Caenorhabditis elegans: one gene and its partners. The protein of the gene in region 2 purifies or fractionates together with the protein of the main gene of each other region. This does not show direct contact. Each region holds a gene or a part of one and is shown on either strand. Other genes may lie near its edges.

Evidence for each region.
Region 1: the proteins of gtf-2F1 (region 2) and R11G1.1 fractionate together in Caenorhabditis elegans (co-fractionation; one large-scale study listed by BioGRID). This does not show direct contact.
Region 3: the proteins of gtf-2F1 (region 2) and gtf-2F2 fractionate together in Caenorhabditis elegans (co-fractionation; one large-scale study listed by BioGRID). This does not show direct contact.

What each region holds. Positions count from the first base shown.
Region 1 is NC_003284.9:3,657,704-3,662,528, forward strand, and holds the start of R11G1.1 (EGF-like domain-containing protein), read left to right. Parts: upstream 1-1,788; coding exon 1,789-1,858; intron 1,859-1,903; coding exon 1,904-2,026; intron 2,027-2,070; coding exon 2,071-2,196; intron 2,197-2,459; coding exon 2,460-2,573; intron 2,574-2,741; coding exon 2,742-4,430; intron 4,431-4,482; coding exon 4,483-4,580; intron 4,581-4,627; coding exon 4,628-4,784; intron 4,785-4,825.
Region 2 is NC_003280.10:4,299,810-4,305,780, reverse strand, and holds gtf-2F1 (Transcription initiation factor IIF subunit alpha), read right to left. Parts: upstream 4,175-5,971; 5' UTR 4,173-4,174; coding exon 3,386-4,172; intron 2,789-3,385; coding exon 2,716-2,788; intron 2,074-2,715; coding exon 1,650-2,073; intron 787-1,649; coding exon 625-786; 3' UTR 511-624; downstream 1-510. Other genes in the region: nxnr-1 (protein-disulfide reductase), read left to right, coding at 266-422; sco-1 (Thioredoxin domain-containing protein), read right to left, coding at 5,063-5,190, 5,253-5,956.
Region 3 is NC_003283.11:18,992,203-18,998,737, forward strand, and holds gtf-2F2 (General transcription factor IIF subunit 2), read left to right. Parts: upstream 1-1,737; 5' UTR 1,738-1,741; coding exon 1,742-1,888; intron 1,889-2,694; coding exon 2,695-3,182; intron 3,183-5,750; coding exon 5,751-5,907; 3' UTR 5,908-5,998; downstream 5,999-6,535. Other genes in the region: Y39B6A.37 (Structural protein), read left to right, coding at 869-1,265; tgt-2 (Queuine tRNA-ribosyltransferase accessory subunit 2), read left to right, coding at 6,144-6,535.

The sequences.
Region 1 (4,825 bases), on a different chromosome or scaffold from region 2:
TTTCCTGTCACGACCCCCGTAAGAAAAACCTTTCCACTCAGACTTTATACTCTCTTAAAATATTTCATGTATATGTGTGCATGCAAACTTGCTCCGGAAGTTGCTAAGTTTTTGAATCGCCATTTTTTGAGTTTTCATGTCGGACTATACTTTTTGTCAACCAGTGTTGCAATACAACTGCACAAAACTCCGTCATAAGATTTATTGGATCTGAAAACTGATTTCTTATAGCTCACTGACGTAATTTATTAAATGTTACGTAGCAAAAAAAGATGAAGCAAGTTTTAAGAGTAGGTCAAGTGAGTTATTGGAGGTAGACTGAGTGGTCAGAAGCAAGGTCCACCACAAAACGGAAGAGCATAAAAGGCGCACCTCTGTGGGAGGAAAGGCAAGCGCCCGTGCGGTCATCAATTCTTTTGCTGCCCACTTACCAAAAACTATACTTTTTTTGCCGAATACCACATATGTGTTATCTTTCCTTTGTTAATCATGCTCAGATGGTTTCTTTGTTGGTGTTGACTAATAGTTTGTTTCAAGTACAATGACCTTGCGCTCATTTTTTTCTTAGTATAGTTTGAGCTCTCTATTTCTGGATATTTCTACTTTGTCCATCCATTTAGGAAGTTCGTAAAATATATGTACTGTATTTACCACTTCACTAAATTTTTTTTCAACTCCCTATCACTTCTTTAAAATACGGTCATTTAAAAATTACTTTCTCTTAATTAATCAAGAATTGTTAATGGCTAATTATCAAAAATAGAGGTATATTTGTTCATTTTTCAATTTTTTTTCTGGTTTATAAAGCTCCTCTGAAATATTTTCCTTGTTAAAAAATTAAAAAATTTATAAAATTTACCGCATTTCATATTGTATGGTTCATAATTGACCTCTTCTCATAGTCAGATTGGGATTTTACAATTATTTAACAATTTGATATTTATTTGCGTTTAATTAAACTTTAATAACTTTGTACCATTGTTTTTTATTATCAATTACTGAGTTTATGCCACTTTTTGAGAAAACTATAGCTTTGCTGCATGTTTGAATCCCTACAATTCTTGAAACATAACTAGATAATACATTTTCAAAGATACATTTTTTTCCGACCGCTTTCAAGAACATTGCAAAAATAAGTAATTACCACTTTTGAAACAATGTTTTTATAAGAAAGCATTCAAAACACGTTTGAAAATTTTAAATATGATATTTGATCATTTTGGCACGATCGGAGTGGTTTTCAACAATTTCCCCACTGGCTCCACCTTGAAATGTAAAAACAACTAAAAGTTATTTTTATACCATCTACATTCTTCCAAAAAAAATTATACTCATTCCCGAAACTTGTTCTTTACTTGAAAGAACTCAGCAAGATTGATGGAAAATGATCGGAAATGGAGGTTGCGCTCGCTTTCTTTTCTTGTCCCGCAGCCTATCTTCGTGTGTTTTCTTGTTTCAACTCACCGACTATAGTTACTGACGCATTCCAAAGAGCTATTATTGCTCATGTAATGGACACTGCTAACCAATTGTTCCAATGTGCACTTTAATCGCTCCTTATACTTTTCCTGTCGTATTACCCGCCTCCCAATCATGCCAGTATATATATTTATCCGAATAATTTTTGAGATGTTAAAAATTTTATTTTTTTTCTGCAAATTTTAAAAAGGTTTCGAAAAATTTCAAACGCTTACAGATCCCAATTGAAAAGATCAACATAATTGGATGAGTGAGACATTCTGATGTTGTCTGCTCAAGAGTACACATGTAACCAGTTCCAGTCTTTCCATGCTGACCGTCTGTCTATATTTGGTCGTCTTTCCAATTTTTGCTTCTTCGCAGTTTTTATCATATGATGGTAGGTGAAGCTTCAGAAAATTCAATTTCATGTCCCAATTTTCAGCAATTCGAATGAGGGTACCAGGACGTTGTATGTTGGGTGACTATGATTGCGGGTTAGGTCAGTGTGTTCCAATTTCTCAATTTCGAGATGGAAAACCTGATTGTATGGATGGTAGCGATGAATGTAAGTACATGAAGCAATATGATTTTAAGGTAATTCACGTTTAGGGTGTTTCATCGGTCAAGTTAGTTGTGGTCCAGTTTATTGTGCAGATTACAAAGATGCACTTCCATGTATTGTTTATCCTAAATGTGACGGTTCATCAAAACAACTTCCATGGTGTTCTACGTCAAGTGAGTTCATTTTAGGTTTACCTAATAATCTCGATTAGTATATTAGACATTTGAAGGGAGTAACTTCCTGCTAAACAATTGAAAACTGCCATGGAATTTCGTTTGCCAACTTTTTTGGGCAGTTTTTAATAGAGCATGTCAATTATTTAAAAATTCAGAATATTTTTATTTTGTCTGAATTTTTGTCATTTGTCTGCAGCTAATACTCAATAGTTGGGAGAAAAAACATACGGGAATAAGTTAGTGAAATTTTAAATTTTCAGAAGAAAAACTATGTGCGGATGAAACGTCATTTCCGTGCAAAGGTTACGGAGAGTGTGTTTTGTGGGAATGGTTGTTAGACGGGAAGAAGGATTGTAACGATGGCAGCGATGAAGGTATTTTTACTTTTAAAAAATTGGCAAATTGATAAAAACAATTTTTGATCGCAATAGTATGTAGTGTTATTCTCTGGAACTAACGTTTGTAATATTGTTTGAAGAAATATTCTTGTGTGGATTAAACTGGAAATTTGGAGAGTTCAAAATCAGAATTTGTTTTTCCAGACGAAAACTATGTGATGCCTCTTGAACACGCCTATAGATGTGCCAGAAATCAATCCGGACTCTATCTCCCAAAACCAGTACCACCACCACCGGAAGATCACCCGTCTCTCTACGTGGAAGGTTGCTCAATGTGCTCGAAACCATCTACCGTCACCTTGCCATCTAATCCTGTGATAGACTATACTACTCCAAAATATCCGTTTATTACATCTCCTCTGCTGGGAAATACAAAACCACCGTTGAGTAACTTCCCAGTATTTCCAAGTGAAGAATCAAAACTTGGGGATTTCTTCCCTGAACCATCCGGTGTCGAAATATCACGAGTAACTGGCTTCCACAAACCAAATGAGCCAATAGGAGACTTCTTTCCAACACATTCATCAACACCTGTACCTCCAACAGAAGCTGTCACTCAATCTCACACATTTCGCCTTATAACAATTCCATCAATTAGCCAGACGCAGTTTCCTCAGGCTCCGCTCATTTTTCCTGGACGGCCAGACTTGCCACCCATCACTGCGCCCTCACCTCTAAACAACTGGCCAATTCCAATTGTGACTACCACACCGGACCCACACCATCAAGGCCCACTTCCGCCGATTACGTATCCAACTATAGAAGAGGGTTCGGAAAAGATTCCACCAATAAAACCGGGAATTATAATCAGCCGACCGGTCACTTCAAGAAAACCAGATCTACCATCAGAGTTTGAGTATGGAGGAGGCACGGGTGATGGAATATCGCAACCACCAGGAATGAATCCATTTGACATGCTCACTAGGCCCAGTGTTCCAATGACAACTCCAGGACCTTTTGACATGTTTCCTAATGTACCACCTGTAGACCTCCGCCCAGTTACCCGACCATGGGAATCTGAAAAAACAAAACCTTATCCTGGTGTTACAATACCGGATGAACAAAAATCCGGTACCGACACGTTAATACCATTAATTCCTGGTCGCATTCTTCCAACTTTCGCAACACCAAGACCACTCTCCATTCCAAGTTTTTTCACAACTCCCCAGTCACCCCATAGACCTTTCGTAACTCAAAATCCTCCTCATGGTGCATTACCAACACTGATCCCACAAGCCGAAATTGAGAAGTATGTGCAAACGGAAGTACCACCTCACTCTGGTTTCGAAATACCGGGAGGGGGTTTCACAACACCTGGTAGCCATATTACCCATCCTTCGAAAGTTCCAGAAGGTTTCATTGAAGAAAAAACATTGCTGACGCCTTCTACAAACAATGCTCAGACAACTCAGATAGACAGAAATCTTACACCGAAAACCACCACTTTGAAGGCTACATCTCGAACAAAAATTATTCATGTTGGACCAAACGGGGTTGTTGAAGAAATCGATAATAATGAGTCGACGAAGATTGAAAATGAAACAAATTTGGGAGAACATGAAGGACAAATTGTACCAGGATCAGATAAAGTCATACACATTGGTCCAACAGTGAAAACGACTCCAACACCATCTAGTGGTACTTCAACGATTGTCACCGAAAACAGTTCAACCTTCGAATCGGTATCGACTTCAAGTGTTCCAACAACAACAGTGAAGACAGGTGACCCACAGGTTGATGACTGCCTCCGAAGAATGTCTGATTCTGGTGGATCGGTAATTTGTGATTGTCCAAATGGCCAATTCAAAAACACTGGGAACGGGCAATGTGAAGGTATTGTTCAAAATTGTATCGCTTTAATTAATTTTGCTTGAAAATATTTCAGAAACTCTTTCATTGGTGGTTGTCAAAGTGAAGGTTAACACAGTTTGTAATACAGATAAGGCATCGCTTGAGCAAAAACAGCGGATTTTACATCAAAAGGTAGATTTGTGGGTATCAATTATTTTTCATATTGGAAGTTTTTGCAGATTGGTCAATCTTATAAATCGTGCATTCGTTCGGCGGAACATGATTCTGCATTAGTTGCTATTGTTCAATGTAGTGACTGCACTTTGCAAGAGATCGATCGATTGTTAACGACAAGATCATTCGGGGAGCCTGGAAACTTGAATCTGACTGCAGAAGGTGAGTGTGCACAGCTTATAAACCATATCATGTAAATTATT
Region 2 (5,971 bases):
ATTCACCGGTCTCCCGCCGATACAGTGGAGCGCAATTGCACTTCGATCTCAAAAAGCGCGAAATTCAAACTTTTTCAACTATTTTCGCTGGTTTCACCCATATTATGGCACTTTTTATAGTTTTTGTCTATTTTCTAGTGTTTTTTAGTACTTTTTAAAATAGAATCGTTAGGAAATGCTCGAAAATGTCAAAAATCCACAAAAATGGCTTCTCGATGTGCCCAAAATCACAATTTTCTACGATTGAATAATATTTTTTTTCCAGGTCCCTGATGCAAAAATACGAAGTCAAGACAATTCCAGCCATGAGAATTGTAAATGATCAGGGAGAAGTGATTGTTCAGGATGCTCGGACTGAAATTCAGAATAAGGGAGAGAATGTTGAAGGCCTGTGGGCTGAGTGGATGGCTTTGATCAAGTGATTCTTGCATAATTATTTGAATTTTTTTGAAAAATCTATAATTCCTAGCTTTTAGAATATTTTGCACTTAAATATTTCGATAAAATTTTTTTAATCGCGAAACTTTTGGTTCATTTACAGAATTTTGGGCGGGAAAATTTGAATTTAAAATAAAAATGCGAAGGATTGTATAATTTTTAAGAGAAGAAAAAATAGTTAAAAAATTAGGCGATAGTGTTGACAAGTGAGAAGAAGAGTACTTCCTTCTTTCCCTTCAATTGTCGAGATTGATTCGGTTCGATTGCTTTCAGAATTGAAGCCAGTTGGGTTACCATTTCAGATTTGCTCATATTTCCGCATTTTCCGTTCATTTTGTGGAGGAGTTCCTGCAAAAAATGGAATTTTATTATGAGAAAATTTGGATTTTTTCAGATTTCGCTGAAATTTTTGGTACAGGAGCGATTTTTGAATAGGTTTTTCAGCTTTCAATTTTATTTAAATTATAATTTTTTTTAATTGAAAATTTATATTAGAGTTTTCTTGCTTTTTTGTCAAATTTTTAACATTTTTTATGAACAAATGATGCAATTTCTAGCATAATTCATTTTTCTAAAGTTTTTTATTCCGAATTTTGTGAAAAATTAAAAATTTTCTATTTTTTTTAATTAAAAATTTTTAAAAATGCTCATAGGTTAAATTGATTAGATTTAAATTTATTATAAAAAAAAATAGTATTAAATTTTTTGAAAACAAAAAATCTATTTTGTTACCAGTTTTTTGATTTTTAGGTTTTGAAAAATCGAAAAATTTCAATTTGGCTGTTTTTCTTATTTTTAGCATAAAATTGAATTTTTTTCTCATGTGTTTTCTTCTCAATATAAACCAAAAAATTGATTTTTTTTTAATTTTTAATTTTTCTCCGAAAAATCGAAATTTTCGCGGAAAATAACTTTCTTGGTATTTTCTGCATTAACTTATATATTTTTCTGTTTTTTTCGTTCGAAAAAATTATACCTATATTTTAAATATTTTTAAAGTTTTCGTGCAATTTTCTCAAAAATTGAATTTCCTTCTTACAATTATCACAAGTTTCATAATTTTAATTTTAAAAATAAATAAAAAGTTTATTATCCTTTTTTTGTTAACTTTTTAAACATTTTTTTTTTCGTTTTTTTGTTGTTTTTTTTATCCTGAGAAAATCGATTTTTTTTTCTGAAATTTTTCCTATTTTTCGAATTTTCCAATTCACCTTCGTTGTATGCGGTTTACGACGCAAATATCTGCGAACAGTTTCCTCATTGAGTCCTTCCTCAAATTTAACAGCCGGTTTCGCTTTTTTCGCATCACTCGGACCAAGATTATCCATTTTAAGATCAGAATCTTCAGTTGGTGGACGTTTTTTTCCGGTTCCTCCCGAGCCGCCTTCTCCATCCTTGTTAGCCTTCATAAAAACTACAGAATCGAGTTTTTCAGTGTCGGAAACATCAGAATCTGTTCCAGATGAATCACGTTCTTCAATATCATTTCCTTTTTTCTTATCACCATATGGTTTCATTAATTTCTTCGTTAAATCATCTTCAGATTCACTGCTATCAGATTCACGTGCTCCTTCTTCTTCAGCAACTCCGACTAGTTGTTTCTCGATTTTTTCGTCTGATGGAACTTGTTCACGGCTGAAAATGGGTAATTCATTGATTTTTCAATTTTTTTTGAAGGGAAAATCGAAAAATTAATTTTTTTTTCGATTTATTACATTTTTTTCAGAGAAAAACGAAAAATGGAAAAGATTTTCAATTTTTCAAATTTTTTTTCAGAAAATTCGGACTTTTTTTTAGTTTTCAATTTTACTAAGAAAATTGGAAAATAACAATTTTTAATTAGAAAATGGAAATTTATTATCGATTTTCTAGAAAAAAAACCGAAAAACTTCGATTTTTTAAATTTTTCCCAGCGAAAATCGAAAATATTCTATTTTATAATTTTTTCAGAAAAAAAAAAATCAAACATCGAAAATGTTTGATTTTTTTCGGTATTTTAAATTTTTTCCCAATTTTTCCGACTAATTAGTAAATTTTTTTATTTTTATTTTTGCAATTATATTTTGTTTAAATATTTTTTTTCATAATAAATCGAAAAATAAATTTTTTCCCGATTTTTTTATTTTTTAGAATAAGAATCGCAAAACGAATTTTTTAAAAAGAGAAATTCGAAATTTTTTAATTTTTTTCAGAAAATCAAAAACGAATTTTTAAAAGATTTGTTATTTTTTCTTTTCCAAAATAAAATTAAAAATTTTTTCAAAAAAAGAAACCAACTCAGAATCAGTTCCACTGTCAGAAATGTAGTCGTACTCGCGGCCCTCGTCCTCTCCGTCCGATGACTCGTATTCTTAAAATTTTTTTTTTTTGTAAAATGAGAAACCATAATCTTGAACATTTTCTATTTTTCTGAAATCAAAAATCTATATTTTTTCGTTTAAAATGCCGGAAATGTGTGAAAATTTTGATTTTTCCTCAAAAAAAAAAGATAGAAAAACGATTTTTTTCTGAAAAACTAGAAAATTTTCATATTTTCCGATACTTCAAACAAAAAAATCCGAAATTTTTTATTTATTTTCGATATTAATGGAAAAATCCATTTTTTTACGAAATGTCGAATTTTTGTTTCAATTTTCGTTAAGTTTTCGATTTTTCACATTTTAAACAAACAAAAAATTAGATTTTTCAAAATTTCTTTTTTTTTGTTGAATTTTCGGAAAATCGGTTTTTTCAAAAAAAAAACAGCAAAAATTCGATTTTTTTGAAGTATCGGAAAAATTAATGGCGAATTTTTTTTTCAATTTGTGTTTAATTTTTCGATTTTCTTTGAAAAGGTCGAAAAAATTCCTATTTTTCGGCATTTCAAACAAAAATCGATGTTTTTAATCGGAATTTTTCCGAATTATTCCTTCGATATTTCAAAAAATCCGCCAGAGCTATTACTCACTAGCAACATCATCCTTATCCTCAACCCTCTGCCTCTTCTCTTTCGCCGGTTTCGCATTCTTCTTCTTCTTTTTCTTATTCTTCGCCTTTTTTCCATCATCACCACCCTCTCCCTCATCATCACCATCCGAATCATCAGAGCTCGCCTCATCCTTAATTTTCAGTAGACGTTTCTGCTGCTCTGTCATTTCCGATTCATCCGTCGCACTCAATTGGTTCTGTATCGCTGCTTTCAAAGCGAATTGATTCATAACTTTATATCTCTGAGAGAATTGCTCCTCGGCTTGATCAATATCAAGAGTTTTATGAGTAATCGCTGGCAGGAATTTATGCCATTCATCGACTTTATAAGCTTTAAACTCAGAAGATTGATTTGGTTTCAGAAAAACCCAATAATCAGCATGCTCATTTGCACCACCTTCTCGAATTCCTCTCATTTGCCTCTGCCGTCCTTCTGGCTCAGTGAATGCCATCTTCCATGGCTGATTATCAAGTCGATATTTTTTTGATTGTCTTCCATATTTCTTTCGGCGAGCTTCTTCCCTCGCAGCTTTTCCATACTCGGATCCTTCTCCGTATTCTTGAACTGTCTGTGTTGATAGAATTACACGTTGATTATCCTCTCTCTCCATTGTAACACCACTGTCTATTGTCCATTTTGATGTGTCCACTTTGTCCATTCCGTTGAACATCATTACAGAGTAACGGATATCATCGCTTCGTTTTGCAACGCGGACACTGAACTCGCTTTGAACTCCTTCTGGTTTGACAGGTTTCAGGCCAGACATTTCTGGAAATAATTTGGGTTAAAAATGGGATGTTTTACGCATTAAAATAAGAAAAAATCCTGAAAAAACTGAATTCTTTCGAGGTAAATTTCAAAAAAGTCTAAAATTCAAGAAAACCACAAATTCCCTCGGAATTTGGCTAAAATTGAGAAATCACGGTTTTTGAAGTTTTTATTTGAATTTTTTTTCATTTGCGATTATTTTTCGTGCTTTTTTTTGTGGATTTCCTGAATTTAAGACTTTTGTAAATATTTTTCTTTAAAAAATTGTCTCAGAAAAGCCAAATTCCGCTAAATTTTCGAATTTTTCATTTTGCTCGTCCAAAAACGGTCTGAATGGTTTTTTTTACAGAGTATCCTATAATTGCATAATCTTATCGTTTTTCTTGTAGTGAGGAGCTAAATATTTGCAAAAATCGGTGAAAAATAGCTCATTTCAGCTAAAATCTTATACTTTCTCAATTTATTTGGTCAGAAATTGATTTTTATTCCAATTTTTCCATTAATTGCAAATTTGATCGTTTATTCCATTTTTTGAACCATAAACGCAAAAAAAGTATCAAAAAATCCGTAAAATATCAGAGAAAATTGATTAAAAACTGGTAAAATTCGAGATTTTAGCTTTTTTTTCGCAATTTTTGAAAATCTCTACGAGAAATTAGGTTTTTCTGGCATTTTGGAGCAAAAATGGTGAGGAAATTCAATCGTAAAAGGTATTAAAGCAATCGAACGCCTTGAAAATCAAAAAAAAAAGTTCAATAAAATTAAGCTGAGCAATGGTTTTCTTTAAATAAACAAAAAAAATCTAACCGAGCTGAAAATTACAACAAAAAGATGGAAGATAGCTACCTAAACAGAAAAAAAAACAAAAAAAAATACACGTAAAAAAATCTAGAACAAATTCAATAACGATTTCCGGTTCTGGGCTTGGTATTTGAGAACTTTCATTTCAATAACGTTGGCGATCTCCTCAGCTTTTCGATTTTGTCCGTAATAATCGTGGAATTGGCCAGAGGGGTCTGGAAAATTAAATAATTTGAGTTTTTATCCAATTTTTATACTAAAAATCTAAAAATCTCACCAATTAGGTACATAATAACCGTGTGATCTACAATATAATCATCTTCTTGCTTATTTGTCCTGGGTCCCTGGCTATGATATACTCTGAACGTTTTCGCAACTTTATTAACTTGCTCTGTGGTTCCAGTGAATCCACGTAGCTTGTTGGAGAACTCGGAGCAATATTCTTTCACTCGAGCAACAGAATCTCGCTCAGGATCTACTGAAATGAATACGGGAACGATCGGCGTCGCGTCCTTCTTTGCCTCGATAATTTCCACGACTTTCACCATTTTCTCAATCTCATCAGGGCAAATATCCGGGCAATTTGTGAATCCAAAGTACATCAGAAGCCAATTTCCACGTAGTTCCTGAGATCCTTCCATTTTCCCGTCTGTATTCATCAATTCCCATTCTCCACCGATTCTCGCTTTTCCTGCCGTCTGTTTTCGGTGTTTTTCCCTCTCATCCAGACGGATTTTCTTGATGTAAAATAGAGCGGCAAGGCATGTTCCGCCGACTGCAAATGTTCCAAGAACGGTTTTCCAGTTGAAAATGCTGCTCCGCTGAAAGGCTTCTTGCTCGGCTTGTTTTCGGAAATTCATGAAATTCTTGTCGACCGGCGGTTCTTTCGGGCTGCTCGTCGTCTCGGTCTCCGTGATTCCAGTTTTCAGAATTTCGTTCAACTTCTTCAAATCCTTCTGCAAATCCGTCTCCAGGTCGTCACTGAAAATTTTAAAT
Region 3 (6,535 bases), on a different chromosome or scaffold from region 2:
AAGTTTTGGGCGCTGCTAACACTACAAACTACAAATTTTGGGCGCTGCTAAACTACAAACTACAACTTTTGGGCGCTGCTTAGACTACAAACTACAAGTTTTGGGCGCTGCTAATTCAATTTTGGGCGCTGCTTAGACTACAAACTACAAGTTTTGGGCGCTGCTAACACTACAAACTACAACTTTTGGGCGCTGCTAATTCAATTTTGGGCGCTGCTTAGACTACAAACTACAAGTTTTGGGCGCTGCTAATTCAATTTTGGGCGCTGCTTAGACTACAAACTACAAGTTTTGGGCGCTGCTAATTCAATTTTGGGCGCTGCTTAGACTACAAACTACAAGTTTTGGGCGCTGCTAAACTACAAACTACAAGTTTTGGGCGCTGCTAACACTACAAACTACAAGTTTTGGGCGCTGCTAATTCAATTTTGGGCGCTGCTAAACTACAAACTACAACTTTTGGGCGCTGCTCAAGGGAAAAATCAGTTTTTTTTTCTGAAAAGTATCGCCGAAAACTGAAAATCTCCAATTTTCTCCTCAAAAATTGCAATTTTCGCACTGAAATCTATGAAATCCCATAAAAAGATCTTAAAAAGACATTTTCTCATTGAAATTTGAGCTCAAAAATATACGAAAAATCGATAAATTTCAGAAAAAACACTAGCAATCGGGACATTTTGCTCCAAAAATTCCGTTTTCCGACAAAAATCCGGGGTTTTCAGCTTAAGAAGTGCGAAAAAAAAGAATGAAATTTACACTAAAATGCTTGATAAATAAGATTTTAGACCGAAATTTCCAAATTTTAGCTCAAAATTATGCGGAAATTCTGCATTTTTCGGTTAAAAATTCCCAAAATTAAAATTTTCAGCACAACACAGCGCTTCGGAGTAGCCACCACCACCACAAAATGCTCTGAAACCGACGATGAATTTCCACAAGGTTATCAAATCATTGGTGATGGAAATGTTCCATGTGCCACCACGTCAGAAGATGAGGATGACGTCATCACCACCGATAACTTTGATGACGTCACCACGAGCTCTGGATTATGGTGCAATTTCGTGATATCTCCGGATGATTTTGTGAGAAAAAATGATGTGGAAAAACTGGAAATTTCCGAGGAAAAATCGATGACAATACCGCTTGATGGTGACAAATTGGCACAGATATCCGCTGCAATGGCGAATTTTCAGTTGCCTACACCGCCCGGCTGGGAGGGTGTCAGCGATTCGAAAATATTGGAATTTGTTAGACAACGAGTCTGAAAACTGTGTGCTGAAAATCCAATAAAAATCACTTGTTTGCCGGGTTTTTGCTGAAATTTTTGTTAAAAATTGAGGGTTTTTAGCCCGAGAAATATTGATTTTCGCTTTATTTTTCAGGATTTTATTGTTTTTTCCTCGAAGCTATCGATTTTTCTGCAAATTTATCGATTTTTCTGCAAATTTATCGATTTTCTGGAAATTTGTCGAATTTTCTGCAATTTTATTGACTTTTCTGGAACTTTATCGATTTTTCTCTCATTTAATTGATTTTTCTGCAAATTTATCGATTTTTCTGCAAATTTATCGAGTTTTCTGGAAGTTTATCGATTTTTCTGAAAATTTATCGATTTTTTTTAAAAATTAATTGATTTTTTTTTTGCAAATTTATCGATTTTTTCTCAATTCTTTCATTTCTTCCTCGATTTCATCGCTTTTCCACCTATTTTCCCCTGTAAAACTCTCGATTCTCCAGGAAAATGAGCCCAACGAAGCGATATTCGAATGACGTCGACTGTGAGCTGGCAAAACGGAGCATTTGGCTTGTAAAAGTGCCCAGATATTTGTCAGAGCTCTGGGATGCCAACGAGGGAAATGTTGTTGGAAAATTGCAGATTGGAGCGCAGGTAAAATTGGAAAAAATATTGAAAATCCTGTTGAAAATGCTGAAAATGAAGTTTTTGGCCCAAAAATAGTGTGGAAAATCGGAAAAATCTGAAATTCTGGTCAAAAATGTGATTTTCAAAGGAAAAAACATCGATTAAATCATAAAAGATATGAAATTTGGGAAAAAATTCAAAAATAAGGTAGAACCGTCGTTTTTTGGACAGAAAAATACCTCAGGTTTTCAAATGAAAAAAATCTGAAAAATGTGGAAAACGGCATTTAATTTTCAATTTAATGACATTTTTCCTCGAAAATCTGAATTTTTGTCTCAAAAATTGACAAAAATCGATTTTTTGCCGGAAAAACTGGATAATTCCACTGAAAATTTGACATTTAACCAATTTTTCTGTGTTTTACATAAAAATGCACTGAAGAAGAACCAAGAAATTCGAAATTCTACTGAAAATGCGGAAAAATTCGAAATTATTTTAAGAAAATTAAATTTTAACTGCTTTTTTAAACTCAAAATTTGAAATTTTCTGCTAAAAATTCAATTTTGATCAAAAAAGCCTGAATTTCTCACCGAAAAATGAAATTTTCTGAAAAAATTGAAAAAAAAAATACACCAGAAGCTTAGAAAATCGATTTTTCAATGAAATTTTCAGTGGAATTAATTGTTTTTCGGTTGAAAATCGATTTTTCAAGTTAAAACGCTAGTTTTACAGTGAAAAATGCTCATTTTTAGAGTTTTTTCACGGGAAAAATGCTTAAATTAGGACATTTTTCTCCGAAAACTGAATTTTTGGTTTAAAAATTTAAATTTCAGGTCGAGCTTCACACCGCCAAAGGTCTCATTCATCCCAAACCAAAAGAGCCCACAGAGGGCTCATCATCTACAGTAACCCAACCAGAAGCCTCGGAAATTCCAACAGAATACTCATTTATTCTTCATGACGTCAAATCTCAAACAATGAGCGTTTTATCCGAAGATAAGCAGGGACTCGGTGCAGATGCTCCAATCAAAACTGGAAAACTGGCAATTGAGGGACGAATTATCAAAAAAGCGGAATGTCGGCCACCGGCCACGTCGAAATATATGAAAATGAAGTTGGCACATATTGTGAAAAATACTCAACCAAAGAAAACGGTTAAAATGATTGAAAAAGCGGCTGTGAAGTTTAAGCCCGTGTCTGTACATGCTGAAGATATGATTAAGAGCAAACAGAAGAAGGATGGAGCTAAAACTTATCGAGCTGATAGAGATGTGCTCCGTGGAGCTCTTTTCAAAGCTTTTGAGAAGCATAGTTTTTATAGGTAAAATACTCGAGAAAACTACGGAAAATTTGTGTTGTTTTGGCCTTTTTCACTGCAACTTTTTCCTCACGAGGGACGAGGAAAAGTGGTTTCTAGGCCATGGCCGAGGGGAAGACAAATTTCAGCGGCCATTTATCTTGCTTTGTTTTCCGCCTGTTTTCTTTCGTTTTTCATCGATTTTTTTCGTTTTTTCTTAATAAAACTGATAAATAAATATTTTTTGCAGATGCCAAAACGATTTCCAAGTAAAAAAAAGTGTATTCAGTGGGCAAGCAGCGGTGAAAGTGGGCATTGTAATATGATGGATTACGGGAATACAAAACCTAAACTTTTTCTTAAACATTATACATATGCTGCTTAGATGCTGAAGCTACCTGATTTTCATAACGAGACCGCTGAAAAAGTTTTGAGGTTTCCAAAATTCAACTTTTTGTGCGAAAATCTCGACTTTTTCACCAAAAAAGTTGAATTTTGAAAACCCTAAAACTTTTTCAGCGGTTTCGTTATGAAAATCAGGTAATTTCAGCATCTAAGCATCATATGTATCATGTTTCAGAAAAAGTTTAGGTTTTGTATTCCCGTAATCCATCATTTTACATTGACCATTTTCACCACTGCTTGCCGACTGAATACATAATTTTTTTACTTGGAAATTGTTTTAGCATCTGCAAAAAGTATTTATTTATCAGTTTTATTAAGAAAAAACGGGAAAAGGCTGTGAAAAACGAAAGAAAACAGGCGGAAAACAAAGCAAGATAAATGGCCGCTGAAACTTGTCGGCCCCTCGGCCATGGCCTAGAAACCACTTTTCCTCGTCCCTCGTGAGGAAAAAGTTGCAGTGAATTTTTTGAAAGTTTTAATAATGGTGTAGTCGAATTATTTTTATCGCCTTATTAGACTCAAAATTGTCTAAAAACACCGAATTTCATAATGAAACTTCTTGAAATCTTTTCAGAAAAGAGTTATGACGGCTCAAAAAATGGTCTAAAATTCGTTAAAATCGGAAATTTGACTTGTCAAGCGGCTCAAAACTATTTTTTTTTGAAATCACCGTCAAATTTTAAGTTTACAAGTTGATCATCTTGCGTTTTGAACTTGATTAAGGTATTTAAAAATCGATAGACGGCGAGATTTTTAATTTTTTCAAACCCAAACTCGCCGTCTATCGATTTTTAAATACCTTAATCAAGTTCAAAACGCAAGATAATCAACTTGTGAACTTAAAATTTGACGGTGATTTCAAAAACAAATAGTTTTGAGCCGCTTGACAAGTCAAATTTCCGATTTTAACTAATTTTAGACCATTTTTTGAGCCGTCATAACTCTTTTCTGAAAAGTTTTCAAGAAGTTTCATTATGAAATTCGGTGTTTTTAGACAATTTTGAGTCTAATAAGGCGATTAAAAAAGTCGACTACACCACCTTTAATGTGGTTTTCCCACAAAAAACTACTGGAAATTTGCAGTATTTTGAGCTGATAACGAATTTTTGGGCGCTGCTTAGACAACAAAAACTACAGTTTATTTCATTAAAAACTGGTAAAAATTCTGGAAATTCGAATAGAAACCGATTTTTAAAGTAAATTTTGCCAGAAATCCACAAAAAAATGGCAAAAATCGGATAAAATCTGAATTCGAAGATTTTGGGCACTGCTAAAGCTACAAACTACAAGTTTTGGGCGCTGCCAATGAATTTTGATGCCGAGAATTTGAATTTCTGTTGAAAAAATGAGTAAAAATCTACATTTTTGAAGGTTCATGGTTTTTCACCAAAAAAAACTGCAGAAAACACCGATTTTTAAACAAAATCTCACCGAAAAATATTAAAAATTGGCGGAAATCGGTTAAAATCGGTTCAAGATCCGAATTTTTACATTTTGGGCGCTGCTTAGACTACAAACTACAAGTTTGGGCGCTGCTAATTCCATTTTGGGCGCTGCTTAGACTACAAACTACAAGTTTTGGGCGCTGCTGATCCGAATTTTTTGCAATTTTGGGCGATTTTTCAATTAAAAATGGAAGAAAATCTATATTTTCATTCAAAAAGTGTCAAAATTTTACGTTTTACTCATTTTTAAAGGGATTTTTACAGATTTTCCCAAGAAAAACTGAAAAAAATAGGCAAAAATTGACGAAATTCCACGTATTTTGCACCTTTCGTTGAGTTTTTTTAGGAAATTCTACACACAAAAAACTGTAAAAATTGGGTGTTATTTTGGTATCAATCGATTAAAAACTGCATTTCAACGTTTTGGGCGCTGCTTAGACTACAAACTACAAGTTTTTGGGCGCTGCTAACTACATGAAACCTCGTTTTTTTGCCAAAATTTCCAAAGTTTTTTCAAAAATCGCACATTTTCGCTAGAAATTTCCGATTTTCAAGCCGAAATATGCGAAAATAATGAAAAATCACACATTTCTAGTGTATTTTTTGGAATTTTTAACGAGAAACACACTAGTTTCCTCCAAAATTTCTAACTTCTTAGAATTCTGTGCATTTTCGATGAAATTTCGGATTTTTTGGCTGGCCGCTGCTTAGACTACAAAAACTACAATTTCTCGCATTTCAGACTTCAAGATCTTCAGCAACTCCTTCAACAACCGGTCAGCTACGTCAAAGAAGTGCTCCAAGAGATTGCCGTCTACAATACTGCTCCACCGCACAAGTCTCTGTGGTGCCTGAAACCGGAATACTGTAACTACAAAGTCAACGCACAATCGGAATAATTCCAACTTTTTTTTGGACATTATTATTATTATTTATTTACTATACATCTCTTCTTTTTTAAAAACATGATGAACACTTGTGAATATTGGGGATTTTTGAATTTTTTTTTTTTTGGATTTCTTCGTTGATTTTGGGTTATTTAGCCCAGTTTTCTATTTATTATCAGATTTTTTTTCGTTTTTTTTCGAGAAAAATAGGAAAAAAAAATTGATTTTTTACTTCTTTTTTTTTCAGAATGGTCAAATTTCAAATCGAAAAAAAGACGCTTCTGGGCCGCTTGGGCAAAATCGACACATGGGGCTCCGTGGAGGTTAACCACCAGACCCCATCCTTTCAAACCTACCTACGAGCCGGACATATTCCCCACCTGACATGGGAAGTTGCTGAGAATCAGCTGAAACTCGAACAAACCCACATTTTTCAAATGACGCTCCCAACGCTGGTGTCAAACGCGAAAATTATCGAGAAATTCGGAAAAGGCGCTGCGAAATTTTGTGGGATGCCTGCAGGCGCGGCGGTTCACCTGACACCGTTTGACCCGCTTGGAAAGCTTCCCGGAGGGTATAATGACTCGAAATCCGTCGCGATTTGGACGGCAAACGGAAAAGTTTCGTTGGATGTTAAAAT